Mus musculus: one gene and its partners. The protein of the gene in region 3 purifies or fractionates together with the protein of the main gene of each other region. This does not show direct contact. Links are inferred from orthologs where the notes say so. Each region holds a gene or a part of one and is shown on either strand. Other genes may lie near its edges.

The links.
Region 1: the proteins of Gsk3b (region 3) and Prkar1a purify together in Homo sapiens (affinity purification with mass spectrometry; 3 studies listed by BioGRID and IntAct, with this or other methods). This does not show direct contact. The link is inferred for Mus musculus from reciprocal best matches to the Homo sapiens genes GSK3B and PRKAR1A.
Region 2: the proteins of Gsk3b (region 3) and Akap11 purify together in Homo sapiens (affinity purification with mass spectrometry; 4 studies listed by BioGRID and IntAct, with this or other methods). This does not show direct contact. The link is inferred for Mus musculus from reciprocal best matches to the Homo sapiens genes GSK3B and AKAP11.
Region 4: the proteins of Gsk3b (region 3) and Ppp1cb purify together in Homo sapiens (affinity purification with mass spectrometry; 3 studies listed by BioGRID and IntAct, with this or other methods). This does not show direct contact. The link is inferred for Mus musculus from reciprocal best matches to the Homo sapiens genes GSK3B and PPP1CB.
Region 5: the proteins of Gsk3b (region 3) and Gskip purify together in Homo sapiens (affinity purification with mass spectrometry; 10 studies listed by BioGRID and IntAct, with this or other methods). This does not show direct contact. The link is inferred for Mus musculus from reciprocal best matches to the Homo sapiens genes GSK3B and GSKIP.
Region 6: the proteins of Gsk3b (region 3) and Prune1 purify together in Homo sapiens (affinity purification with mass spectrometry; 5 studies listed by BioGRID and IntAct, with this or other methods). This does not show direct contact. The link is inferred for Mus musculus from reciprocal best matches to the Homo sapiens genes GSK3B and PRUNE1.

What each region holds. Positions count from the first base shown.
Region 1 is NC_000077.6:109,649,420-109,654,360, reverse strand, and holds the start of Prkar1a (cAMP-dependent protein kinase type I-alpha regulatory subunit), read right to left. Parts: upstream 3,413-4,941; 5' UTR 3,288-3,412; intron 3,020-3,287; exon of another isoform or gene 2,918-3,019; intron 606-2,917; exon of another isoform or gene 583-605; 5' UTR 577-582; coding exon 400-576; intron 394-399; exon of another isoform or gene 17-393; intron 1-16. UniProt on the Homo sapiens protein: Regulatory subunit of the cAMP-dependent protein kinases involved in cAMP signaling in cells.
Region 2 is NC_000080.6:78,505,422-78,509,872, reverse strand, and holds part of Akap11 (A-kinase anchor protein 11), read left to right. Parts: intron 1-1,992; coding exon 1,993-2,148; intron 2,149-4,451. UniProt on the Homo sapiens protein: Binds to type II regulatory subunits of protein kinase A and anchors/targets them.
Region 3 is NC_000082.6:38,087,093-38,092,343, reverse strand, and holds the start of Gsk3b (glycogen synthase kinase-3 beta), read right to left. Parts: upstream 3,344-5,251; 5' UTR 1,819-3,343; coding exon 1,731-1,818; intron 1-1,730. UniProt on the Homo sapiens protein: Constitutively active protein kinase that acts as a negative regulator in the hormonal control of glucose homeostasis, Wnt signaling and regulation of transcription factors and microtubules, by phosphorylating and inactivating glycogen synthase (GYS1 or GYS2), EIF2B, CTNNB1/beta-catenin, APC, AXIN1, DPYSL2/CRMP2, JUN, NFATC1/NFATC, MAPT/TAU and MACF1.
Region 4 is NC_000071.6:32,482,585-32,487,035, reverse strand, and holds part of Ppp1cb (serine/threonine-protein phosphatase PP1-beta catalytic subunit), read right to left. Parts: intron 3,677-4,451; coding exon 3,572-3,676; intron 1,778-3,571; coding exon 1,706-1,777; intron 1,156-1,705; coding exon 1,004-1,155; intron 1-1,003. UniProt on the Homo sapiens protein: Protein phosphatase that associates with over 200 regulatory proteins to form highly specific holoenzymes which dephosphorylate hundreds of biological targets.
Region 5 is NC_000078.6:105,694,781-105,699,231, forward strand, and holds part of Gskip (GSK3B-interacting protein), read left to right. Parts: intron 1-3,937; coding exon 3,938-4,196; intron 4,197-4,451. UniProt on the Homo sapiens protein: A-kinase anchoring protein for GSK3B and PKA that regulates or facilitates their kinase activity towards their targets.
Region 6 is NC_000069.6:95,278,803-95,283,717, reverse strand, and holds the start of Prune1 (exopolyphosphatase PRUNE1), read left to right. Parts: upstream 1-1,641; 5' UTR 1,642-2,094; coding exon 2,095-2,133; intron 2,134-4,915. UniProt on the Homo sapiens protein: Phosphodiesterase (PDE) that has higher activity toward cAMP than cGMP, as substrate. Plays a role in cell proliferation, migration and differentiation, and acts as a negative regulator of NME1. Plays a role in the regulation of neurogenesis.

The DNA of each region.
Region 1 (4,941 bases), on a different chromosome or scaffold from region 3:
TAAACTAGACACACACCTATATCTATAGTGTTAAAGGTGGAATAAACTAATAGCTCGCCTGCTTGGTAAAGGAAAGCATGAACTGCCTTTAACTAACTCTCAACTCACTGTCACACTACTTTTGATTGATTCTGTTAGTCTATTTTCTGTATTATTTCAAATAGCTAAAAACAACAACCATCAGGAAACCTGTTTTAGCCACACAAGCAGCATCAATTTGGTTTCTGGCAACTTCTAATTAAAATTACTAAAAAATCCTTCACTGCATGATAATCTGAATTTCTGCTTGACTTACTTGGCCAGAACCCCTCTTGCCCGAAGTCACACATCAGTTGACATTCAGAAGCTCTAAGCACAGCAACTGTCATGGTCATCAAATCGCTCCCTCATGAATTTTACCTTCTCCAACCTCTCAAAGTATTCCCGAAGGAATGCCATGGGCCTCTCGGGCCGCGTAGTGCACAGCTGCACGATGGAGTCCTTCAGCAGGGCCTGGATATTGTGCTTCTGCACATAGAGCTCGCATTCCCGGAGACTCCGCTCTTCCTCACTGGTTGCCATACTGCCAGACGCCATGGTTCTCTGGGAGACAAAGAACACACATGCTGGGTAAGCTAGAAAGCACAGATGCAGATCTGGCCTGGGACTTACTTAAATTCACGAGACAGCAGATTCAAACATTTCTTTACTCAACAGCATTTGTGTTTAAAGAGGAGGTGGGGGTTGGATATAAACTATCCCAAGTTTCTACTGTCTCCGCTGGGCAGGTCACGCAGAGAAGACCCATAGCTCCTGGGAGGAAGTATGAGCCAGCGTGCCTGCCCTGCTGAGCAACTGAGGCAGTGCTGAGGCCCCAAGCCCTCTGGAGATTTCATTCAGTTCTCTTGCAAAAGACATGACGATGATGACGTGGGAAGTATGTAAGTGGGAAGCAGGTCAGAGAATTACAAGGGCACACAGGTCGGCTCTAAGTGAAAGCACAGCTCACAAAGAACACCTGACATTCCCCTGAGTGCACCTCCCATCCCATGAGCGCAGCTAATGTCACAGCAAACCACAAGGGCAAAGAAGCTGATTAGCCAAATATTAGTGGAATCGAATTTTCTGAAACACAAAAGCAGCCTCGGGTGCCTTTCCTCAGCAATCTTTCATTCCCTTCTTTGACTAACTCTGCCCGTGACTTAGAAATACAATTACCAGCAGAAAGAGTTGAAAAGGCTGTACTAGAGGAAAATAATCTCTACCAAGCAAACTAAGATTTTCTTCATCTAGACAGGAATATATTAAAACATGCTAGTTTACAGCTTACAGGATGACTCAATAGCTAAAACTGAATTTGAGCAACATTAATATGAAATAGAAACACAATAATGGGCAGCCAAGCTGCCTCAGGACTAAAAGCTCAGTACTTTATGCAGCTATTCAGTTTTCCTCCTAACTCCTAATTACTAAGCACTTGAGATTAGAAGATGACGCCCTCTCCACTCTGCATACCAATTCCACATAACCACTCTTCAAATTATAATGCTCACAGACCCTCTAAGGTTAACCTGTGAGTTAAAAGATAAGGATAAGGAGCCATTTTAAAGTGCTGCACTAATGTTTTGTTTTGACAGTTTTCAAGATAAAGGTCAATAATATGCACGCAACAGACCAGGACAAAGTTTGTAGCTCCATGACAAGCACAGAAAGAAATTAGAAGCCACAGACAGACAGACAGACACACACACACACCACCGTCAGTTCAGAAGAAACACTGAAGGGAAGGTTTCTACTGTCAGATATCGTTTGTTCTTGTTGTGCTTCCAGGTCAGAGCACGGAACGAGACAAAGAATCCACTTCATTGGAACTTTCTCCATTTCAAATACTGAAGGCCACCAGGAACGTGGATAAAAACAAATCTATTATGCTTCGAAGCATCCAGCCATATTTCAAGAATGTCAGCACATATATTTAACTGATCAGAGAAATCCCTCTTAGATCCTGTCTCTGGCTGGGAAGGATGGCGCAACTAGGGCTGATAAGTGAAAAATGGTGTATGCATTACAAAGACCAAAAGGCAGGCACTGGTAAAGAAAATACAAACACCAGTCATCATGTGAAACGCCAAATAATCTAATTTTATGGCCTTAGGATTTTTAATCGGGTATGTCTTGGTTCCACGTTTGTATTTACTTTTTAAAAACCCCACAACTTAGCTTCTCTCCAAAACAAACACTAAAACCATCATCACTGCATCGAGTATTCGTAAGAAGGGGGATTCTTGAGGAAATTCGGTTCTGATGACACTCTTGCTTTCAGAAGGACTATACTGGAGGACATATTTAAACCGCCTTTGGGAGCCTGTTGCTGACAGGGCCCACATCTAAAGGATGCCAAGTAACACTAACACAGCCTGGGGGGTGGGGTGGGGGTCATCATCTAAATGCGAGCCTTCATTTCTCTGCTCAAGAAACCTATCTATCCTGGCTCCCTCAAGTCATCGGCTGTCCCCACACCCGCTCTGGGCTGGAGTTAAGGGTTAACGGGCGCCGCGTATTTTCACGAGGGAGGGCAGGAAAGTGCCCTTCACTTCACTTAGGCCACGGTCATGATCACTGAGAGCAGCAAGACGGCCCCTCATCCCCCACCAGGCAGGAGGCCGCAGACGTGGAGTGGAGCGGAGCGGGAGGCCTGGGGAGGCTGGGGTGGGCGGTGGTGGGGGCTGGAAAGGACGAGAAGTGTTAGGGGGACAAAGGGAAATGGAGCTAGGCTGAAATCACCGAGCGGAGGGGTGGAGGGAGACGAGCCCGCGAAGAGGAGGGGGGAAGCCAGGGCAGAAGAAACGACTGGGCAGAGATGAAGACTACAGCCGAGTGGCGAGGCTAAGACCGAAAAGCCATGGCGGATTCCGGTTTAAAAAAAAAAAAAAAATACCGAGCTCTTGTCCTTCAGGAAGTGGGGGAGGGAGGACGGGCGCCGAGGCCGCGGCGCGCGGGGGCGGAGGCGGCCGGGGAGCCGAGGGCAGCGCAGGACCGGGGACCCGGAGACACTCAGGACGGGGGCGGAACGGCGGGGGGCAGGGGCGGCCTACGGCCCCGCGGGGAACGGTGCAAGGGCGGACCCCGGGGGACAGTGCGAGGCCTGCGACAGGCCCCGAGGCCGCCTCGGAGGCGCAGGGGGTGCGGCCGTCCCCCCGCAGCGCGCTCCCCGGGGCGCCATCTTGGCTCGCTCCCGCGCCTTCAGGGACGCGCAGCGGAGCGCCGCGGCCGGCGACTCCCCGGTCAGGCCTCGGGCCCGCACTCACCTGAGGGCGGGCGGCGGCACGAGCAGGGGCTAACGCAGGGCGAGGCGGCCGGGGTGACCGAGCGTCCAGCGGGCTCAGCTCGCAGCCTCACTACCACTCTGCGATAGCGGCTCGGCGACGGCTCCACCGGAAACCAGCCGACCGCGGCCAATCAGCGTTCGGCTGCTGACGTCAATGCGCCTCGCTCTGGCCAGGGCGGTTGCCTTGGCAACCTTAAAGGCGCAGACGCCTAGGATCCTCCTCCAACCCCATCCCCACCCCCCTCAAGCCCACCACCGGCTACTCCCACCCCCTACCCTTAGCCCGTCGTCATCTAGCTAGAACCGTTCTCTTGCAGGGCACCTCTCCATCTTTATCTTGTCGCGTATACGTAGCCCCTTCATCGCTCTCATCTTTTTCCTTCTCTTTCTGCTAACCCGTTTCTGTCTCCTTTATTGTCCCTTCCTTACCAGGTGTGGTGGGGGGTCCTCTAGATTGTTTAGCTGTTCGGAGATCTCAGCCTCTCCTCGGTTCCTCGGTGGCTCTTGCGTCTGCCTCCCTCCACGCCTCTGTCTTTTCTCCCTCCCTTCGACCCTCCTACCGCAGACCCACGTGGGACGATTCGGTGACAGGTGGGCGACTCCGCCCTGGGTGCTATGGGACGGCAGGGAGGGGGATGGGGTTACAGGACGCTGGGCGGACAAGGAGATCCCTGCTGTTGGAAGAGGAGGAGGCCCTAGCGGATCTACCACAGCTGAGCGCAAGCGGATGCTGAGATGCTCCTGATGGACAGAGCGCGCATCCTGTGTAGACCCCCGCAATACCCGGGGTTCCGGACTCGGGCCTGTCATCCGGTCCAGGAAATCTGAGCCCCTATCAAGCCTCTGCTTGGCTAATCTGACTACTGTCTCCACAAGTGAGCTGTCATCAATGGAGGCCCTACCGTGCCTACAGAAGCACCAGATGTAGGGAGACTTCCAAGAGGAGCCCGGAGTCCTGATAATGCCCTAGCCTCCTATTATGCCAGACTGCGTCATGGGCAGTACAGACAGATGGGCAGATCAAATCATTGACCAAGCAAGAAATCTGAGCTGCATGAGAAAACAAGAGAAAAGGCGACTTCATTATTCCTTCAGTCAACTTTCCCCTTAAGTATGTGAAAATGAAAGCAAGGGACACAATTTTAGGCATATGAATTAAATAAATAAAGTGGGCCTAAATAAATACATAAATAAAATAGGCCCCTGCAGTGTGTGGTTCTGAGTAGCTGCAAGGTGTTGACAGCCTCATCGTGTATGTGCTAGGGCAATGTGCGTAGAAAATATCACGGATTTAACACTTAGTACCAAAAAAGGTTACAATATCTCCTGCATAATTTTCACAGTGATCCCCAGTTAAGATATTTGGGTTAAGTGGTGTTTGTAAATTTCACCTTTTTAAGCCTGACTTTGTCTTGGAATACCCAGACTATGATAAGGGCTCTGAACATTAGTTATGATTACCCCCCCTAGTAGTCAGAGGAAGGAAGGGGGAAGAGAAGGAAGCCGCTCCCTCTGCAGCCTCTCACCAGGATGTTGATCAATGGCTTCTTTTCCAGAGATGGGTAGAGTGGAAGATTAAAGACCGAGTCGCCATCATGCAGGCTTTCCCCCTCTCCAGTGCTGATAAACCCAGC
Region 2 (4,451 bases), on a different chromosome or scaffold from region 3:
TCAAATTTTTTGTCAAGTCTTGTAATAGAATGAAGAGTTAACTTTGCCCTGTATGTTTTAGGTTCTGTTCATAAAAACTCTACTTATTTTCATCCTAACTTAACAGAGGTCTTCTCTGTTGCATTTGTATGTAGCTTCATGTCCTGTGCTTGGTTTTCATATGAAATTTTTGTTTCCCGGTTCCTTTTGTGAGTAATTATTCATTTACAGGGCTGGAAGATGAGAGAAAACACAATAACATCAACTAAGAAGCAGGTAATCAGAATAAAGGAAATGGGTGAATTTTATTCAAGAGTTTAGACTGGTATATTTACTACTCTGAGATTAATATCTGTTTCTATGGTCGAGACAGTTTTCTACACATGGCTTGGACAGTTTTTATTCTTCCTCTTCTATCATAGCAGCTTCAGAAGAGGAAACTAGATGGTGATTCCTAAGCCCTCACTCCCAGGACTCGGCCAATAACTCTGCTATTCATTCTTCAGATTATTCATCTTCTTCTTAGACCTGGCCAGTAATGTACCCCGCAGTCTTCCTTAAGCTTGTTTTAATCCAGACTGGAATTTGTAGGCTCTCTCTTTGTACTTCTGTTCCCAGGCTTCTGTGAGAACTGCAGAGTCCACTCAGTTGTATATAATTCTGCCTCACATTTTATAAAGTTAAAATGATTTACAATTGAAGAATGATTGATTCAAATAGATTATTCACTAAGATGTTAACTAAATTGTTTCACTAATGTTTCTTTTCTCATAACTGTTTGATTAATGGTAGAATATATAATAGGACGTTACAAACCCATAACGATCAGCTGGGAGCCATATGAATTTCAAATAGGAAAGCATATGACAGTGGAATTTTAGAATAATAATAGATCTAGACTTTATTTTCAATTAGCATGAGTCCAGTTACCTAGCAGTCATTACAAACCCTCTTTTACCCTCCTCCTGTGAATCATTTTCTTAAAAATGTGGTAGGTAACAGGAAAAAGTGTTAAATAAAATAAAGTTGTGGTGGAAGATACCTGTGTTTGGAATGCCAAGCCTAACTGAGTTGTCAGATCTTTTTAAATGCAAAGTGAGAGGTGCTTTAAAAATGGGAAGGGCAGTTCAAGGCTTAATTTAGGTGTTAGGGATATAAAAGAAATTGAAACAGGCAAAAAAACCAAACAAAAAAACAAACAAACAAAAAAACAACCCCAAACCAAACCAAACCAAAAACCACATTGTTCTGCAAGAGCTGGGGGTCCTGTGTTCTGGGCACTGCTGTAGAGTGACTCAACTTGGAGGATGGCAGTGAGGGACCAGCTTATACATATATGATGTTTGGAAGTCAATGGAAAGTTTTGATCAGAAAACTGATACCTTTTCTCTTCCTGCTTAAGCATCACTCTTTAGAACTGTGTTGACGATATACAGATGGAGCAATTAGTTTAGTTTCTCTAAGACAGGGTCTTACTATGTAGCCTTGGCTAGCTTAGAATTATGTAGATCAGACTGGTTTTGAATCACAGAGATACCTCCCAAATGCTGGAACATCAGTTTCTGCTAAGAAATATGTTTATGATTCATATTATGAAGAGATTTCTTTAGTTTGAATATAGGCTTGGTTGACACAGCTAGAATTTCAAACTGCATTTCTAATACTAAAAGCCAGAAGGAGGCTCTTTTAGATTCAAATGAAGGTAGTATTTTTATAGGTCAGATGATTTGCTTAGAACTTCTAGTGAGGCGTACTTCTGCTCAGTGTCCTGTTGAACGTGGAAAGTGCTTTCAACTGAATGTAGATGCACAAGGGTATTGTCTAGGTAGCAGATGCGGTCCTTGCTGTGCTGATGTTCAGTCTTCATTATGTGCAGATGCAGCGACATGTTCAGGGGTGTTAGTGTCACCGGGGATATAATTCCTTAGTGTCAGCTTTATCATCTTCTTTCTTTGTCACAATTTGTGATGCTTCAATTGTTTTTTAAATTATTACCATGTGATCGTTTCCTAGTTCAAGAGAAATAGAAGATTTTCAGTCAACTGAGTCACTTGGCAGCCAGCAGATGAATCTCAGTGTTGGTGAAGACAGCACAGGTAGCTGGTCCAACTTAAGTTTTGAGGATGACCATCAAGATGAAAGCAGCAGTTTCCATCATCTCAGTGAAAGGTAACTCTGACTGTATAGTTAAGTGTGTGAGAAAGGTCTCTAGACTTAAGAAAAGTGAGCAGTGGGTTTGTGTTATTTAAAAATTCTCAATTTGGAAATCTGTCTATACATCCAACATTTTATTATTCACAATGTGGCTCTTTTGTAGTTTTTACTTTAATTGTTCTTAAGGGTATGGCTTTCTTCTGGTGTGGCCCAGTCTGGTCTTGAAGTTAAGTTTTTCTCTTAACTTTCCAGGGTCTGGATTATAGGCTTGTGGATTATATTGCCATCCCTGGCTTCTCAATGGCTTTGACACATATTAAATGCAGTGAGGGAACAGAGCAAATATCTTCGGATATACTGACAGCTGACCTGAAAAAAAGTATTGCAATATTGAATTTTATTTCCATGTTAAGTTTTCATCTATGTTGTGGGAGTATAATTTATCACTTTAAAGAGCATACCTTCATTAGAAAGCTATTCATGAGGACAGTTAGGTGTCTGTAAATGGCATTACTATAACCCTGCAGTTTCCTGATACAAGCTATAATAAATAGTGTTTCTAGGGACAGGACTTCTGCTAGGAACAAAATATTTTATGTCGCTTCTTGGATTGAAAATGCAAACATTGCATAGTCTTAGATTTTTTAAAACCTACTTTAATAAGGGTTACTAAATACTTTAACCTCCCTTCTAGCCCACCACTCACCTGAGGTAGTGGAAATGAAAGGTTAATAGGGCACAGGGGAATGTGGACCTATTTAGAAATAGTTCTTTGGGGTAATTCCAGTCTTCATTGTCAGGACATCAGTGGTTGAATTGATGTGAGTCAGCAATAGTACTCCATCCACTCACAAACATCATTCACTAACCAGCAACGGCAGTTCAGTCCAAAGTGGTAAGCCACCCAGAATATCACCACAAGTTCTTCGATGCATTTCTCTCTATGAGGTCATGACAAATGATGATCAGCTAAGGAGGCAAGACAAACAAGTGCCACAGTGCTGTCAGCCAAGACCAGCATCTGCAAAGCCCAACAAAGCCCAGCAAAGAGTGGCAAGGTAAACCAATGCCACAGTGTAGTCCACTGTCTGCTGGGTTATACTTATACCCTTTCCAAACATCACATGTTCTCTTTCCAGGCAGCTTCCAGAAAAACACCATGTGTCTGTTCTCAGCAAAACATCCTCTCATAACACAGTTTTCAGAAAAACGTCACATGACACAACTGAGTCTCCAAAGAAACCAGAAATTTCACTTTACATGAATCTGTAAAAAAAAGTTTTATATACTTGAAGACATTTACTTTACATGCAAATTTTCTAGTTAACTTTGTTCACAATAGCCTCCTTTGAAATATTTCATTATGATATAGATTCTTATATTCTCACCTCTACCTAAAGGCATTCATGGGTTGCTTATGAACTCCCGTGAAGTATTTGTCCATATTAACTGACAATTGAAATAGAAGTAACAGCAATAGTTAGACCTCAGGGAGGGAGAAGTTCTCAGCATACCTCTACCAGGAGGTATATGTGGAAAGAACCGTGTGCAGTCCCTGCTGACATCGACCCTGGAAATGTTCTTGCTGGGAGAGGGAAGGAAGACAGTGTGACGTTGGAGGAGAGGCTGGGGTGGCATAAGGAGAGGAGGTGTGGCCTCTGGCCTAGGAGAGCGAGGCGTCCTAGCCTAAGGCTGGGAGGGTTTCTTTTCTACTTGGTTACACATTTTCTTTTCTTTTTTTTCCTTTTCTTCCTTCCTTCTTTCTTTCTTTCTTTCTTTCTTACTTTCTCTCTCTCTCTCTCTCTCTCTCTTTCTTTCTTTCTTTCTTTCTTTCTTTCTTTCTTATACTGTGTTTGTTATGTTATGGGAAAAATCAGTATTTTTTTACAATTTGGATGCCAAAAAATAGTCTTTAAAATGGAAACAGTAGAGCAAGGTCAAAAATCATGATTTTCCCTGGAACACTGTAATAACACTTAAGTTTTTTTTTCTTCTTTAAGGAAAACAAGCTTCCAAGACTTCAGCAAGAGTGACATTAAACTGGGAGAAGCCAGTGGTCTTAAGAGGGTTTGTAGAAAGCTCAGTAACTAGAGAGGGTTAACTGAGTTGTTGCAAGGGGCAAGTCTTTCCTGGGCTCTAGTCTTCATTCTGCCTGCAGTGTTTAGTTTATTAATATGGATAACTTAGAAACCAGGCTGAAGTGACAGCCTCGTAACAGTAACAAAACCAAATCAGGCTGAGGCCAGAGTAATTATATAGAATCTGAGCAAATGCATTCAGGCTCAGAAATTATGTGAACCCAGGTAGGGAGAACGTCT
Region 3 (5,251 bases):
CCTGGAAACAATATGAAAAGTCCCCAATTTTGGTATTTATTCTAGCATTACAGATCTCTGAAATAAACCTAATAAATAAATGGTCTAAAATGGACTGAGCAGGTTTTTTTTTTTAACTAGCCAAAGCATACAACACACAAATACTTAAGTACCATGAAAGGTTCTTCAGTAGTTACCATGAAGTCTACTTCATCATAACTGATAATTACCCTAGCATTTTTTTAGATTCCATTCAAATGACTCCGTAAAGTGCTTAGAAAGCATGACCCTTCCCTAAAAGATGCGAAATCAGCTTCCCTCTTAACATGCCCTGCGTTCTAAATTTGCTAGTCACTGAAGGAAAAGAAAAAAGTGAACTTGCAAAAATCTCTCCCACTCAGCCATCGCTTTGGATATAACTTTGGGCTTCTCTGTTTCAGACAAGTTCCAAAAGCCTACAGGACTGCAGCTAAAAGGAAACAGGTCCAATTGCTTAATCAATTGCATATAACAGCACATGCATTTTGACTTTTTAAAAATCTTAGTTCTTCAGTTACATCAGCTCCTCTCAGCAACAAAACAGTTTTATCTGTGTCCTCCCTCTTCTTTCTCATCGAATAAGGAAAACAACATGGATATTTTGGCCAGAATCTGCAACTATGTTCTAATAAGCTGTCATGAAATACCACATAAACATCTCCACAAATAGATACATTTGAACACTGGATACTCAGTATACCAAACACTTCAAGAACACAAGACTCTTTTTTTTCAGCACAGATTCCCCGGGAAAGACTGACAGATACTGACACATTTTAAATTATCCTAAAAGGGTATCCTCTTGTACTCTTAAAAATAATAATAATAATAATAACAAGTAATAAATGCAATGCCACCTCAAAATTAAACTTAAATGAGGAGTCAGTGACAACACTTAACTTAGTTTGTGGCAAAATGACAATACAACCTCAATCAAAAGTTGAATCTCCTTCCAAGTTACCTTTTGATTAAACAAATTATATGGTGGCAGATTGGTAATGTCAAAACAGGAAGGTTAAGAGATAACACATTAAACCACTTGAAAACAATGCACTTAGAGATGCGACTGCTGCGGGATATTTATCAGCTTCCACCACCCCTAGACGAGTGAGGGATGGATGCTAGCTTGCCTCCAACGGCAATGTGGGTTACCAAGCAAGTTCATCCCCAGATTCAAAAATACTTTGTGTAGTCACACGGGCAAATAGGAAATATTAGGAGGCTGGGGCATTTAATATCTCTATTTTGAATACAGAACCCTGATAACCTGAGCTAACTAAGATAAACTCCCTCATTCCAGAAGACAAGGACTCGGCAAATGTACATCATGGTTTATTAATCAAGCCTTGTCCTCCTCTTCTTTATTCAAAGGGATGGGCAAGCGAACGCTTCTTCCATCGCTTAACCCGGAGGCACTGGAGCACTTGAAAAGACTACCAGCAGCACGGAGAACGTAAGAAAAGAAGTTTCAAATCCAATCAGGCAAATAAAACTAATATTCTCTCAATCCAAGGTTAATGAGGCGGGGGGAGGGGGTACGGGAATGGGAGGAGGAAAAGGAGCCTGCCTCTTCTTGACTCAAGGCTGGTTTTGCCCTTTTCCACGACCACTGACTGTTCTATCAGGTCTGTTAGTGTAAGATCCTGGTATTTCGAGGTTTCTTATCTAAATGGTAAGGTGGAGGAAGGGTGTAAAATAAAATCGATACTCACTGCTAACTTTCATGCTACCAAAAGCTGAAGGCTGCTGCACTGGCTTGCAGCTCTCCGCAAAGGAGGTGGTTCTCGGTCGCCCCGACATGATGGCTCTTCTTGAATCACCTTTTCCTTCCTTAATCCTTTTCTTCCTTTTGTTTTATGTTAGGGTGCTAGGTTAATGATAAATGCAGCATTAAGTTCTCCCGCAAGAAAGAGAAAGAAAGACTTCGTTCTCTTGGCTTTTCACTCCTTTTGTATAGCTATTTAAGAAGAAGGAAAAAAAAAAGGAGCTATGTATTTCTTCAAGACAGATCGGTACGGATATTTAACACATAGATGATTTAGAGCTGGGAGAAAAATACAATTCTTTCACCTCCCTTTCCTGGAAGAGGAGAAAAAGGGTGGAGTGGAATCCTTAAAAATATATATATATCACGTGAACGAGGGCAAATACTTGATTGAAAATAAGTACTCTGAGTATTATATTTTTCCTCGGGGATTTTTTTCCGAGTCAATGAAGAAGGGAAGCGGCGGAAGGATCACGAGCCTCACGCTTGAAGAGAAGGGGGATGGGAAGGAGGGAGGAGATGGCTCGGAGATGCGACGGCAAACGCTGCGGCTCCGGCAGCAGCGGGATCCGGCGGTCTGACGGCGGCGGCGGCCGGGTGAACCGGAGGGCAGCGCAGTCGCGAGTCAGCGGCGGGCGGTGGCGGCGGCTCCTCTCCTCATTGCGCCAGGAGCAGCTGCAGGCGGTGGCTGGATCCAGCGGCCATGGCGGCAGCGGCGGCGGAGGCAGCTCCCTTCAGACCCCAGGCAGCGGCTCCCTGACTGCTCCCCATACGCCGGGGACATGGGAACCAGGCAACCGCTTCCGTCCCTCGGGGTCCCCTCCCCCGTCCGTGGCCCCGGCACGGCCGGCCTCCGCCCCTCGCCTTTGCTCAGCGGCTGCTCGGGAAGTGTCCGCGCTGTGCCCGGAGCCCGAAGCCCTGTCAGCGGCTGCAAGGCCGGCTCCTCCTTGCTGCCTTCCTTCCTTTGTCACTCGGCCCAGGCGGCGGCGACGGCGGCGACACAAGCCCGCATTCGGCCGGGTCGGGGGCTGCTCTGTGCGAGGCGCGCCGTCTGCGCAGCCGCCTAGCCCTTCCCCACTCCCCCTCCCCCTTCCTACTCGTCCTCCGCCTCCTTCCTCCCCCACCCAGCCCTTACACCGCCCAGCGCCCCGCCGCCCGCGTTACAGGCGTCTGGGAATCGCTCGCCGAGCCCGCGCCCGCCAGCTTCGGCTGTAGAGCCGAAACCCAAGCCGGAACCAATCAGAGACGTCGCTTGCTTGCAGCTCCTGCCGGAAAAAGCCGAGCGACCTGGATAACCAATGAGGAGACGCCGCTGGGAGACCACGCCCCAGCAACGAGGAATGCCGAAGGTAGCCGAACAGAAGGGAAGAGGGTTCTCCTTGTCCTGTGGCTGGCTAGAGAGAAGAGTCGACAATAGCGACAGTGGCCAATCAGAGCTGTTGGCCCTCAGGGAAAAGCCTCAAGAGTTAAGGACGGCGAAACTCCCGAGTCGCGGGAGGAACTGCACGGCTGGGCGCCGCGCCCGTTTCCTCATTGGCTGGACAACTCCGCTGGGCGTGTACCTTTCTCGGTGATTGGTGAAGGGAAGGGGGCTTCCGAGGACATCGGGCCAGTCAGAGCCTCCCCTCCCTCTTTGAGGCGGGGAGAAGAAGAAAGCGGAGGGAGGGCACCTATAAAGTGCCATCTCATTGGTCTGCAGCGTCGAGCTGGAGCGCGGGGGGAGGGGAGCTTCGAAAGGGAGAAGGAGGGTGCAGGAGCCCGTGGCGGCGGCCAATAGGCGCTCACTGCTGTGCAATCGCAAGACCTAGCTGCAGTGGGATTGGCCTCGGGTGGTCCCTAAGCGGGCGGACGGGATGAGTGGTCGGCCTGCATCTGCTTTCCGAGCCGACGCTCGTGCTGGCTGTGCAGCCCGGTCCGACAATGCTGCGGTCGGAGGGTCGGGCCCCGAGCGCTCTAGTGGGGCGTGAGGCCGTCCCCATTCCCGGGAGCTCCGCGGGGCGCGGCTTACCAAGTGCGCCCGAGGCTCCCCACCGCGCGTGCTGAGCCTATGAGAACGTCTATTCTCTGAAAGACGTAGGGCGCCGTGGCCGGGGCCGAACCCTCTAGCGCTTAAATGGGAACAAAGCTTCCAGAGAAGGAGAGCCTCTGGGCAGCCGCGCCCGCCCATCGCGGGGGGCCGCTGATCTCGTGGGGGGGGGGGGGGGAGCCCTTTGCAGCAGGCGCACAAGGCCAGACCAGGCCTTCTGGAAACGCCCCCGAGAGATGAGCTCATGCTAGATGAGCGCGGTCCATGGGCGCGACTGTCCAGCGCAAAAGCAGCCCCGAAAACAGGTGAGGGGAAATGTGGTCAGGACAGTACCTCGAATCCTAGGAGGAAGCTCAAGTCAGAATTGCTCGCAGCAGTTTTTAGTGTTATTGGATGATCAGCACACTGCTGCCTAAGTAGGTTTCACATGTAGTCCAGCGTCCATTGTTCTACAAAGGAGACCATTGCCTTGGTCCATCCGAGAGCTGTGTGGCGTGGCTACTACGACTAGAGTAAGTTAGAGTGGACACTGGCAATCCTGACTGTAATCCCGTGATACTTGTAATACCCACCCGCATAGTCATCTCTTTCTGTTGAGATGCTATCTCCAGAAAGCACATGTAAAAGTACACGTACTTGATCAGATTGCTTAGCTATTGCTTTAAAATCTGATGAGGGACTTGGGACAGAACAAAGTAAGCTTTGAAGGGAGCCAGTAAAGGTCTGGATAGTGTTTGCAGACTCAGATGTCTGTAGAGGCCTGGCAAATAAAGCGAATGACACCGGCCTGGTGGAAGACAATAGGAATGTTAGATGATGTGGAAACGGGAGTTCCATCCATGCCCTTAAGGGGGTCCACCATTAAAATAATCGTATTCTCCTTTTTTTTTTTTTTTAATTACCAAAACCATAACGTTGAAGTTTTATGTGTGATCTCTAAATCTGACGTGTTGGCAACCGATATGCCGAAACCACGTAGACCAACAAAGTAAAAAATCCCAGGAAAATGTGCCCGACAGGCAGCCAATTTGTAATCTCATTCCTTATCGGAGACTTTATGCCTCAAGTGCAGAAGAGACTCTTGTTCTTCACAATTAAAATCGTCTATAAGGTAGCCCGATGCCATGGGGGAGGGTAAAGAATCTTAAAAGCAGCCGCCTTGCTTGGCAACTTTGTCATTTGAATGGTGCCTCTCCATGCTATTATGAAAGACCTTTGCCACTGTTCCTAAACTGCTGTGGTGCAGAACTTTAAATCCTCCCTACCTAATTATACCAGCAGGAAGGTAAATAACAAGGGTTTAGTTTGCAGAAACTGGCAACGTGGCTATTCTTGTATATAAAACTAGTTCAAAAATAGCCTACCTTAGGGTTTTGATTAGTAACTTTTTTGTTGCCTTCAGATATTTTTAACTCAATTGAAAAAAATCTTTTCATAGGAAA
Region 4 (4,451 bases), on a different chromosome or scaffold from region 3:
CGGATCATGAACACTTTGAACAGTGGACACTCTTTTACACTATCAATAATGACTTTTTTTTTAAGCTAAAATATTTATTAACCAGTTTATAATTGCATTCCACAACTGTCTCAGAAAAATTCTCATATCACAGTTCATTTTTGTAAGAAACAATACTGACACATTTGGGTAGTATCAGATTATTACCATATCACACAGAGGCCACAAAGAGAACAGACCACCTGGAAACCAGCAAAGCACTGTGGGGCTGCAGTTAGCTCACTGTACTACAGAATGTTCTCTTTTGAAACATAATCACTCAGAGTGAGATGCCTAAGCTAACACTGCCTGGTACTGACTTGCGAGATCTAGAGTCTTGCCTCCTCATCTATGTTCTTCACATATAAGTCATATTACCTTTTAAGTTTGTAGTTAATTATTTTATGTGTATGGGTGTTTTGCTACAAGTGTGTCTGCATGGCTTGCATGCCTGGTGCTATTGGAGGCTAGAGGTGTCTGGTCTCCTGGGACTGGAGTTTCAGACAGTTTTGAGCTGACACATAATATGCTGAGAATCAAACCTGGGTCCTCTAGAAGAAAAGCCAGCGCTATTAAATCACTGAGCCAACTCTCTAACCCCCTTCCCCCACTACCTTCCCTAGGTTATCAGTTCATATATTTGAATGTTTGGTCCTCAGAAGGTGGAACTGTTAGGAAGTATTAGGGTGGGATTTTTGAGACTTCAAAAGCCGAAGCCATTCTTAGTTCTCGCTCTCTGCCCCATGGCAGTTGCCTCAAGATGGACATTGTCAGCTACTGCTCCAGAGCCATGCCTACCTGCCTGCCACCCCTTTCCATGCCACAATGGTCACAGAATCTGTGAGCTCAAAATTAAATTCTTTCTTTTATAAGCTGCCTTGGTCAAGTGTCACAGAAACTAAAAGACATCAGGGTAAATTATCTACCTACCTACCAATAAATGAAAATGTGTGAAATTAACAATAAAATATCGTATACTGTATACCTGATGAGCTCGACAAATCAAGTCTAAATCATGACGATTCAGAAATTTACTGACTACATCAGCTCCAAAAGTAAAAGAAACACCACGGTCATTTTCTCCCCAGCCTTGCACATCCTTATCTGGGTCGGACCACAGTAAGTCACAAAGCAAACCTTTAGAAAACAGAAAAAAAACAAACAAACCAACAGTGAAATAGAAGCAAGCACAGAATACAGCACACATTTACAGCACATCTCTCCTGCCTTCTTAAACTTCAATGATCATCCCTTGTCCCTAGGCACTCCAGTCTAAACCAGTCTTTGTTAAAGTACAACTTTCTCTAGCTTCCTAGGGTAGTACTTTCTGTTGACTTCTGCATACAGGAAATATGTGTGTGGCATACTCAAGTATATGTAATACGTGGAGGCCTTTATTTCCTTTCTGGCTAGCATTTCCTGTACACAGCTTATCCACTCCTTGCATTACACTACTACTGAGCACCAGCCTATATTGCAATACTTTACTGATTTATCACGAAGACATGAACACATTAATGACTTTAATTAAGACTGGCAGGGCGGCTCCTTTTCTTGCTCTGATCACTTTGTTAACTGTTTTCAGGGATGAAACTAGGTTTCTAAGTGACTTTCACTAAATATAATTAGGTCCAAGCACGTCAACATCTTATGTAAAGCAATGAACTGAACTTCTGTATATACTAACCTGTATCAGGTACGTCAGTGGGTCTCATAATTCTCCGAATCTGTTCCATAGATTGTAGGTCTGGTGACAGTCCTATATATAGAAAGAAAGAGACTTGCTATCTAGCAGAATTATACTCATGCTATCTTTTCTATCTTTCTACCAAGGAAATAAATCATTATTCTTCGAGAGATTCCAAGGAGAAACTCTACTACTTTTTTGCAGTTGCCCTCCCCCTTCCTGAGAACACACTTAGTTGCAACCTTCCTACTGCTTCTGTACCTTCATGACCACCAGATCCCCATAAAGCATTTTTACTTGCAAGTTATACGCCTCTCTTGGTCCCCTAGGAACCTTTCCCCATATCCCACCTCAACAGTCTCATTATCTGCAAAAATGTGCATTAAACTAATAATCAGAAGGATAAAAAAAAGCACAAGAATATATCTGTAAAGTAGAACATAAGGTATTATTTCTCTGGTAGGTAATTCAAGTACCACAAGAAATGAAGCTAAATACACATATTCCACACTGCCATATTCCCACCTCAACTCTGCCAATGCCTTTAATGGTCAGTATCTATGGAAAACAACATTTCAACTAATAGAGTGAACTGTGCTGTCAGAATAAACCACTCACGTCTCAGGCCTCGCCACCATCTTTCAGCATTTCCACCTCTATGCTTCCCAAAAGACACTACCATGTATGATACCAAGAAACCATTTTTCCTGTATATCATTAAATTGTTCCATAGTGTGTGTAAATGTGTGCTCATGTATGCGTGTGTGTGGTGAGACTGATTCTCACTATAAAGCCCTGGCTGGCATGATCCTTGGTACATAGGCCAGGATGGCCTTGAACTCAGAACTATACCTACCTGCCTCCTGGGTGCTGAGAGTAAATGTGTACTTGCTTCTACCTTGTTCTAAGGAAGAAACCTCATTGGCCTCAAGATCCCTGATTAAGGATTGAATTTAGGTCACAGGACTTTCAAAGCAAGCCCTTACCATAATCTTCCCTAACTTTTGAAAAACTTTTTGTGTGTGTGTGTGTGTGTGTGTGTGTGTGTACACGTACTATCATAGAAAAGTTTACTGCATATTCTTCAGGGAGTTCTCATGTGTGTAAACTTACAAAACTTTCATCTTTAGAAGACTAAATTGTTCATGACTACTACACATTTGAAGCTCTTTAGAAAGTCATTAGTCATGGCAATTTATGATCCTCAGAGCATAAATGAGAAACACACCAAGGTAAAGCTGGGTGCTAAAGCTGGAGAGCTGAAAACTGTTTTTGATCTAAATTCTAATCTCTATATTCTAATGTCCTCATTTCCTAACATGTTGGCGTAGTGCACAAAACTTGGAAAGCTGTATGAATTATGTTTAGAGTTTGATAAAAGGTAGTTAATACAGACAGAAAAATAATTAGCCTCTCATTCTTAATGATGGCCAAGTACCTTTTATTAAAATCTGAGGTATGAGCTAGATCCCAGCACCACAGGAAATCATCTGACCAGCTGGTCAAGCATAAATTGAGGCAAAGTAAAAATACTCCACACACATCTAATTACCTTTTCTCTTTCCCTTCTCTTTTCTTTCTGAGGTAGAATCTATGGCCCAGGATGGCCTTGAGATCCTTCTGCCTCAGCCTCTGAGTCCTGGGATTCCAGTGTGTGTGGACCACTCTTCTGTTAACACTTGTATAGGAGGCATTCTCTGTAAGGCCCAGTGAAGAATTTCCTATTTTGAGACGGGGTGTTCCTAAGCCTGCCTGGCCTGGAATCAAGCTGGCTTCTAGTTGCTCTACACCTCCTGCCACACTCAGCTTTCCCACAGTACTGTCATTATTACAGTTCTCTTCTAAACAGCAAATGTATTACTCTACCTCCATGACAACAGAAGATTTTCTCATCAACAATAGCAGCTATAGGCAGACAGTTAAAACAATCAGTGAATGTCTTCCACAATTTAATATTAAATCTTCGTTTACCTATAAAAAGGGAAAACACAGAGAATTAAAGAATCAATAACTGTTTTTTTTCCCTCTGTGCTTGATTACTGTACTGGCTAATTTTGTGTCAACTTGACACAGCTGGAGTTATCACAGAGAAAGGAGCTTCAGTTGAGGAAATGCCTCCATGAGATCCAACTGTAAGGCATTTTCTCAATTAGTGATCAAGGGGGAAAGGCCCCTTGTGGGTGGGACCATCTCTGGGCTGGCAGTCTTGGGTTCTATAAGAGAGCAGGCTGAGCAAACCAGGGGAGGCAAGCCAGTAAAGAACATCCCTCCATGGCCTCTGCATCAGCTCCTGCTTCCTGCCCTGCTTGAGTTCCAGATCTGACTTCCTTTGGTGATGAGCAGCAGTATGGAAGTGTAAGCCGAATAAACCCTTTCCTCCCCAACTTGCTTCTTGGTCATGATGTTTGTGCAGGAATAGAGACCCTGACTAAGACAATTACTTAGCCCCTTTTTCTGTAAGTGAATAAGCTATGTTCAGTTTCATGCACTGGAGATGTAGCTCATATCTGAGTACTTGTCCAGCATTCAGGTTTATCACCACATGTATTTTTTTTTTCTTAGATAGTTCTAAAAGGGGAATAAAACATTCAATACCTTCTGTAGAGTTGCAGAAACTTCAAAGACTGTACTGTTCTATGAAACACATTCATCAAACAACTTTATCTTATAAAAATCACTATAGTATAATACTTCTGAAATCATCTAATAGAATATTAGCTAATTTCTTCCCATTCAATACATTTCC
Region 5 (4,451 bases), on a different chromosome or scaffold from region 3:
CTCTCTTACTTCTTACCCCTCGCTCTCACCCTCTCCCCTCTCTGTCTTCTCTCTCTCCTCTCTGTCCTCTCCTCTCCTCCTCCTCCTCCTGCTCCTGCTCCTCCTCCTCCTCCTCCTCCTCCTTCTTCTTCTTCTCCTCCTTCTTCTTCTTCTTCTTCTTCTTCTTCTTCTTCTTCTTCTTCTTCTTCTTCTTCTTCTTCTCTCTCTCTCTCTCTCTCTCTCTCTCTCTCTCTCTCTCTCTCTCTCTCTCTCTCTCTCTCCTACCTTCTCTTTCCCCCTGCCTTTCTACAATAAAGCTCTAAAACCATAGAGAGTCTCTGCTCATCAAGATCCACTGTGCTCACTCTTGCTGGTGTTGGGAACCTCTTCCCTCATCCCTCTCTCCCATAACCCTGGTGGCTTTAGCAAAGTAGCTCCGGGGTTCCGAGGTAGGGCTGCCCCTTGGCCACCCCCTGAAGAGTGGGTCAGAGGCTTGAATGCCCACCCAGGGCTGAGTGGAAAGTGTATGGCAGCTCTCTCACGCCTGACAGACCAGAGAATAGGTAAAATTCTGGCGGAATGTGGGTCTTCCCCCTCCTCCTCTTCCCAAGGGCCCCTTTTTTGTTCCCAACATTTGTGGTCGTTTGTTACTGAGGCACTAGGAAGCTAATAGCAGCCACATAGTGATAATCCTACAAAATGTTTTTGGCAACTACTTTCTTCATGACACACATAAAAATACTCATGGGGCTGGAGAGATGGCTCAGTGGTTAAGAGCACTGATTGCTCTTCTGAAGATCCTGAGTTCAAATCCCAGCAACCACATGATGGCTCACAACCATCCATAATGGGATCTGACGCTCTCTTCTGGTGTGTCTGAAGACAGCTACAGTGTACTTAGATATAATAATAAATACATCTTTGGGCCAGAGCCAGCAGGGCTGGAATGAGTAGGGCCGACCAGAGCAATTGGGGCCAGAGTGAGTAGAGGTCCTGAATTCAATTCCCAGCAACCATATGATAGCTTACAACCACCTGTACAGCTGCAGTGTACTCACGCATAAAATAAATAAATACATCTTAAAAAATTAAATAAAATAAAAATGTTCATGATCATCAGGGTTCCATAGTTTACATCTCCTTACCTCGGTAAAGCTGCTAGAGAGCTGGAGCGGCTACTGTGTTTGACTTTGAGTGGACTGCCACCAACTTAGTGAGTGCTTTCTGTGGCCAGCGATGTCAGGAGACTGAAATGAAAGGTTGGGGCTGTGTCACATGATGCGTCACGTGATGCAGACTGCCATGCATCGCTGGGGCAGGAAGGTGGGAGGCCCCTTAGTGTTGGAGAGAGGATAGCTAGGGCTCAGTGGGCAGTGGGGCACTTGTTAGTCCTGTAACTCTTTGTGCTCTTGGCTTTTGTTGATTTTTATTTTGTTGAGAGAGGCACGGCAGAGAACATTGTTGACATCTCCACTGGTTTCAGTCATTTTTGTTGACTTGTATCAATTCAGCGGAGTCGTGGCAGCTTTTGCTGTATTGCCCCGCAGTGGCTGATTTGTGTTTGGTGACGCTTTGAACTGGACTCTTGCTATCCTGACAAACGGAGATCGGAATCTCCCCAAAGAACCATATCTAAGCAGGTCCATAACCCCTTGTCCAGTTTTACCATCTTTTTCTCCCCTATCTTTGGACAGCAGGCTAGAAAGGGTGATGAAGTATTTGAGAACCTTACTAAAGTAGGCTTTAAAAAACTAAAGCCATTGGGCATTGTGGCACACGCCTTTAATCCCAGCACTTGGGAGGCAGAGGCAGGCAGATTTCTGAGATCCAGGCCAGCCTGGTCTACAGAGTGAGTTCCAGGACAGCCAGGGCTACAAGGGCTGCAGAGAAACCCTGTCTAGAAAAAAAAACAAAAAACAAACAAACAAACAAAAAAAACCCTAAAGCCTACAGGGACTTTTTCGGCTCTAATAACTGAGGCACAGAGGTGGAGATTGGCTGGGTACCCTGCTATCCTCTCTGGCTCCTGCTGCTGTCTTTTCCCCTTGTCAGCATTATCGTTGGCCTCCTGTCCTCATCCCAAGATGGCTGCCAAAAGTGTGCTGTGACTGGACTAAAAAGACCATGAAAAAGTCCATTGTATGAGAACTGGAGTCAGTCTCTGCCACATCACCTGCTGACTCCACTCAGTAGGGAAGAGGCATCCGATTCCCCTCAGAAAATGTGGGCGTAACTGGACAAGGGAAAGACGTGGGAAGCAAGCAAGTCTGATATGGGCAGGACAGAACAATGCTTAAGAGCACTTCCCTGGGCTGGAGAGATGGCTCAGAGGTTAAGAGCACTGGCTGCTCTTCCAGAGATCCTGAGTTCAATTCCCAACAACCACATGGCGGCTCACAACCATCTGTAATGAGATCTGATGCCTTCTTCTGGTGTGTCTGAAGACATTACAGTGTACCCATATACTTAAATAAAATCTTTAAAAAAAAAAAAAAGCACTTCCCTATTCTCACAGAGCAGCAAGGGTCAGCTCCCAGCACCCACACGGTCACATGACCACCAAGCTCAAGTGGTCATACCACCACTCAAGCTCCAGGGGGGCCAATGCCACCTTCTGGCCTCCATAGGCCCCTGGGTACGCTTGTGCATGTGTGTACACACACGTACAGACACACATCTACACATAACTAAAATAAATCATTATCAAAAGCTTTAAATCTTCCACATCGTTCTCAAAGGGATGCATGAAGTTCCCTAGGTATCATCTTTTTGGAGCTGATGGTTACCCAGTAACCATCTGGTGTCGGACTCTGCCAGCCTGTAAGGCCGTCTTCCTGCCAGTGCTGGACGCCTGCTGACAGCTTTATGAACATCTTTTTCATGTAATGGTTATTCTGATGTCTGTAACTGTTCTTTATTACCAAGGTAAAGACATGACACACTTGGTGCTTAGGAGCTAAAACCTTCCAGACTTTTCTTTTTTTAATCAGTTCAGGGCCAAGTCAGTGAAAGCACTTATTCCTAACCACTGGACCAATGGATCAAGCTGAGTTTATAGACTATAGTAAACAGTCACTTCTATAAAACCAAGCGTATCCCTAAACAGTGTATTAGTTGAGCAGGGGAGACATGTTTAAATGATTGTGTTGCATACAATCATAGTAGAAGGTGCATCATTGGCTTTGTGCGTTTGCCATTCCTTCACACGAAGGCTTTTGACTCCCAAGTTATCTTAGTTTCAGCTTCATGGAAGGGGATTTTGAGACCATTGCTCTAACACTTTCATTCTGAGTTTCACACCCAGCCACTCTGCATTTCAGTCCCTAGTCAGCTCTTCATTCTCCTATTACAGGGCTTCACGCCGCCAGCACTCTTTTACATAGAAAATTCTAGATTTGCACAGTGATACAGAAATTAGAATTAGATTTTAGGTGCATAACATCATCCATTTTCTTAGATATAGGTGTGACTTATATTTCTTAAATATTGGTGTGATTTCAAACAAACTGGGTTCTTTTCCACTTCTGTGTGAACTTGACAGATAAAAATATTCTGTAAGCCTCAAAAAAAGGTATTTACTCAAGGAAATACATGCTAAGACAATGAGCTTTTGTTCTTTGCCTCACAGACTGACAAAAGTTTAAAAAGGTCTGGAAAGCTTGTGTTGATGCCCACAGTGCTTCTCTTTGGAGGAATGTGCACTTTGGAGCTTTGGCTTAGGAATGCAATGGAGTGCGCTCAGTGGGGCTCACTGGGCATCCTAGTAGGAGCATGGGGACAGGTGCTGAGAGTGAGTTGGACTGTGAGGTCCCAGCTTGAGAGCTTTCAGAGGAGATGTGTACGTGGCCTAAAGACCGCGCTCGCTCGGGATACTTTGCTGGAGAACGTTGCTGCTTTCTGCCCTTGTCCAGTTGCAATGTTTTTCCATTAAAAAAAATCTGTTACTCCTTTCTTGCAGAATGGAAACAGACTATAATCCCGTGGAGCTAAGCAGTATGTCTGGATTTGAAGAAGGCTCCGAGCTCAATGGGTTTGAAGGAGCGGATATGAAGGACATGCAGCTGGAGGCCGAGGCAGTTGTAAACGATGTACTCTTTGCTGTCAACCACATGTTTGTCTCAAAAAGCATGCCCTGTGCAGATGATGTGGCTTACATCAATGTGGAGACAAAGGAAAGGAACAGATACTGCCTGGAGCTCACAGAAGCAGGGCTCAGGGTAACTCACTTTTATTTTTAGAAGAAAAAAAAAAAGCATATCTTTATCATTTTATCAGAAAGGATAAAGAGGAACATTACATACAAATCAGAGATGGGTATCTTCAAAAAAAAAAAGAAAGAAAGAAAAGAAATATTTTCCCCAAAATTTTGGTTAATAAATTTTTTATCAACACAGAATTTGAGGGTGTAAATACATTTCGAAACAGTTGATTCAGTCTGCTGTAATCGTTACCACCCTTCTTTCATTCCTGTA
Region 6 (4,915 bases), on a different chromosome or scaffold from region 3:
CACAGATGGGACATCAGGTGTCAACTTCGCCCAGAGAGGGTAGGGAGAGCTGCGAGACGAGGTGAAGATAGTTTGAAAACAAAAGTTTTTACCTCAAAGAGGTAGATGAGGTTCCGGCACTGGGAGAGGACTCAACTCTGGCGGTTCTACGCGGGAGGTGGGGACATCGTTGAGGGGCGCCGACTGCGCCAGCCGCCTCCCAGCTGTCAGCCCCAGAGCTTACACGGCTTGACACGGGTTTACTCTCGCGGCGTCCAGCCTGGGTCGCTGCCACTTCCGGACACACGCCCAATACGGGGGACGCTGGAGCAGGGTCGGGGCCGAGGACAAGCAAGGCACAGCGCAGGCGGTCCCGCCTGGCTTCCCAGAGTCTTCAGGATTCCCGAGTCACCGAGCCTCCGGCGTGCGCTCCAGGCCGTGCCTACAAACTGGCTTTCAAAGGAAGTTTGTGGTTTTTCTTTTTCTTCTCTCTGTCCCTCTTTTCCCCCTGTCCGGACAAAGACAAATTAGCCAAGGACGCGGTCCCTAGAGGAGGAGGAGGAGGAGGGGCCTGCTCAGCTACCGAGGATTTCCATCAGGGCTGTCTGAGCCGGTCAGCAGCCCGGTGAGCCGCAGAAAGGAAGAGAGAAAAACAACAGACCCTTTCTCTTCCCTCCGCCTGCCGCTGGAAGGGACGGAGCGCGTGTGCCTCTCTGGTGAGAACCGGGAAAAGCAAGCGGCCTGGCAGAGCCCGGAGGAGCAGGGCGGGACAGCGGCTGTTGATTAGACCTCCCTGGATGCCCGCCGCAGCCCTCTGCTCTGGAGCCAAGAAAGCAGGGCGGAAGGGCGTTGTGTTTGCATATGTACTCGTTCAATAAGAAAGAAAATTCCCACTCCTGGTTTTCTGGAGCCCCTGAGCTCTTTCCCAAGGCTTCCCTTCTTCCCCGTATGCTTTTTTTGAAAGGCTAGGAATGAAACTGGTTCAGCTGTGTACCTGGTCGGGGGCGAGGAAGACGCTCTTCTGCCTCTTCTCACCTCCCCGAGAAGCAGGACGATCTGGGGATAGATTAAAAAATGAGGGAACATGTTATGATGAAGGGACATTTTCCCCCCAAGTAGTCTGCCCTGGGACACGCAAGTGGCAGTTAAGGGATGTTGGAACCCAGCCTTAGGTTCTGAAGGCTCCTCTAAACTCTATTGATGTGACGGCCAAAGGATAAGGCTTCAAGCAACTCGGAAAGCCGAGAGAACTGTTGCAACAGAGACCCAGGAAGCAAAGTCACGGTTGCAACAGCCCATGAATGAGGAGTATTTGCTCAGGCTGTAGAAGAAAGGCTATGAAGAAGGAGGAAGAGTTGGCACGACAGTAGGTTTTAAGAAAACAAGTCAAACATTATGGTAATGTTTTCCTATCGTGAACAAACACATTGATCACGATTTGTCAGTTTGGTAAAGGGGAGAATTTAAAAAAAAGAAAGAAAAAACACCTAACCAGGGAAGCTATTTTAATAAATAATATGTACAGCAATGTTGTAATTTAAAGTCCTAACCAAACCAGGCCTGTGAATCCAGTATTCAGGAAACTGAGGAGAAAGATTACAAATTCCAGACAGGTTGGGCTAGATAGAAAGAATTTGTATTTTAAAAAAAATTGAGAGATTAATTTACATCAATCTCGAACAGATTTTCGGTGTAATATATGGAAAGGTACTATACTTAGTCCTATCTGCAAGTTCAGATGCCATAAAGGCGAGTTATTGTGACACATACACAATTTGCATGTCATAGCCCTCCGAAAACTGCTCACTTGAGGACAAACACGAGCTGCTGGACTACATTTCCCAGGAGGCACCGCGATATACCATACTCCTCCTTGACGTCCCATGAGTCTTTGGGCTCAGAACCCAGCCTCTGCCGCTGGGGGGCGGGGCAACGCCGGACTCCCGGAGTGCCGGATTACGCACTTCCTCCTGGGGTTCGGAGGCCGAACCCTTTAGTGGCGGGTTCGAGTCCCGCCCCCTGACTCTCGGCTCTAGACCCTAGGTCTAGGGCGGGGTACATTCTGCCGGGTTACCTCTCCTGGCTGAGGGGCAACGGCACACCTCGGGCTTTACCATGGAGGACTACCTGCAGGACTGTCGAGCCGCTTTGCAGGTAACGGGTCCCAGTCCGTGACCGAAAGGAATGCAGCGTGGGGTCTGGGAAGGACGAAGGTGTGGGATCTGGGGAGCCCGGACGGTCGGTGTGGAGGGATCACAGAGATGGACGCGGGGGAGCTAGAGGACCAAGCCCTTCGGCCATAGGCGGGAGAGCCCGGAGAAAGGAGTCTCTTGGTTTGCTTGAGTCGGGTCCTTCGGCAGAACCTGTGCGGCGGCCGCCAGCCTCGCCCGGCGAGGTGTGTCTCTCCCTTCTCCCCGCCCCTCTCAGTTTCCCTCCCGCAAGCGGGCTTCAGCCCACTGGGTCCAGGTGAACCTCTGGGAGTGGAGGGCACTGGGTGCACCGCTTTATTGCCTCTGAATGGCGGTTTGCCTTTTTTTTTTTTCCCTCCTAGGTAGAGGCGGTCGTGGTGTTTTACTTTAAATCTTTGTTTTTATGCCAAATATACAGAATAATTCATCAGGCATATATGTTGACCCACAACTTACATTCCTTTGCTTCCAGTGTTCTCCTTTAGTGTTAATGCAGGCGCGTGCGCATACACACACACACACACACACACACACACACACACACACACGTAAAAATACCGCCTCCTTGGTAAGGGATAAACACAAAGTGTGTTTGGAATCTAAACCATAAGCACGGCCCTGAATTCTTTGTAGCTTATTTTTGGTGCTTCCTGAACCAGCTGGACTCGCCCAGCTGTGTTGACAGGCTGTGTGGCATTAGGTCGCTCTTCCCTTTAAAGGCTCCAAGTCACCTGGCCCCCTGCTGTAAGTTTCTCTGCCCCTGAAGAAACAGATAGGCATCTTCCTTTCAAATAACTTAGCTCGGTATGGTAGCCACAGGCCTCTAGTTCCAACTCAGAGGAGGCTGAGACTTCAGTTCAGGCCAGGTCTGGACTGGGAGAAAAAAAACCCAAAAAACAAAAAACCCACAACGACAGAAACAGAACAAAACAATCCTCTGGGCAATAGACTCTATTCTTTAACAAACCCTGAAAGTCCCCTAATTCTGCTGGAGATCCAGCTTCGTGGATAAACGAATATTCTTTTTTTTTTTTTAATTAGGTATTACATTTTCAATGCTATCCCAAAGGTCCCCCATACCCACCCCCCCAATCCCCTACCCACCACTCCCTCTTTTTGGCCCTGGCGTTCGCCGTACAGGGGAATATAAAGTTTGCAAGTCCAATGGGCCTCTCTTTGCAGTGATGGCCGACTAGGCCATCTTTTGATACATATGCAGCTAAAGACAAGAGCTCCCGGGTACTGGTTAGTTCATATTGTTGTTCCACCTATAGGGTTGCAGTTCCCTTTAGCTCCTTGGGTAATTTCTCTAGCTCCTCCATTGGGGGCCGTGTGACCCATCCAATAGCTGACTGTGAGCATCCACTTCTGTGTTTGCTAGGCCCCGGACGAATATTCTTAATTTGAATTTAGGGTGAGGTTCAACTTGATGCCAGCTACACTAAAAATTTCCTTTTGAAGAATATCAGGCCAGGCATGGACCTGCTAATCTGTAATCAGCTCTGGGTTGGTTGAGGCAAAAGGCTTATTAGCTAAAGTGCAGCCTGGGGTGCATACGGACCTGGGTGCCTTGGTGAGACCCTCTCTTCATAACCCCCCTGAGGAAAAAGAACCACCTTATTTGGGGGAAGTTGTTTTAATACAAAGGCAATTTTGTTACTTCTTTTCTTGTGGGCCGGCTCCTGACTCCACCCACCTGATGCTGGTTAAAGTGTGCTTTCACACTTTGCCTGAGGTCTGCATATTTTGTTTACTTTTTATTGCGTTTGTTTTTGCAATGGCCTTTTATAAGCCCAGGCTGGCCTTGAAGTCCCGATGTAGTTGAGGTCGAGCTTGAATTTATAGTCCTGCTTCTGCTTCCTGGTGTTGGGATTATAAGAGTCACCTGTGGTGCCCAGCTTGGCTATTTTTTTATTTTATTTATATGAGACAGGGACTCACTATGTAGTAGCCGTGGCTGGCTTGGAACTATGTAGATCAAACTAGTCTCAAATTCAGAGATCCACCTGCCTCTGCCTTCCAAGTACTGGAATCAGAAGCCCTTGAAAATAGTTTTTTTTGTTTTTGTTTTATATGTGTGTAGGTATCTGCCCATTTAAGTGCAGTGCCCATAGGCTGCAGAAGAGAACATTGGATTCCCTGGACCTGGAGTTGCATGTGGTTGTGAGTCACCAGATGTGGGTGCTAAGTACTTTCTAAGATCAGTCTGAGTTATAAGCACTGAGACATTTCTCTAACTCTGAACAAATTGTTAAACTTATTTATTTAGTGGCGTGTTGGGAGCCGCACCCATGCAGTAGACACATGTGTAGGTCAGAGGAGACTTTTGCCATGGTCCCGTCCTCCCAGCCCGTCCTCCCAGCCCGTCCTCCCAGCCCGTCCTCCCAGCAATCAAAGATAGGTTATTATGTTTGGTAACAAATGCCCATTCCTGCTGACCCATCTCATCCTGTCTGCCTCTTCCACTCTATCTTCACAAAACAATGGGTTTATCATCTTCACACACACACACACACACACACACACACGCACACACACATATTATTTAGGGGCTAAAAAGACGGCTCACCCATTAAAAGGCCTACTGCTCTTGCAATGGAACAAATTCTGTTTCTAGCACTGGATTGCTCACAAACCCCATAATTTCAGTTCCAGGGGAATGTGGGATCTCTAATCTCTGAAGGCACCTGTACTTATACATACACAAATGATTTAAAATTTTTTTAAAGTTTTTTTTTTTCCAAAAT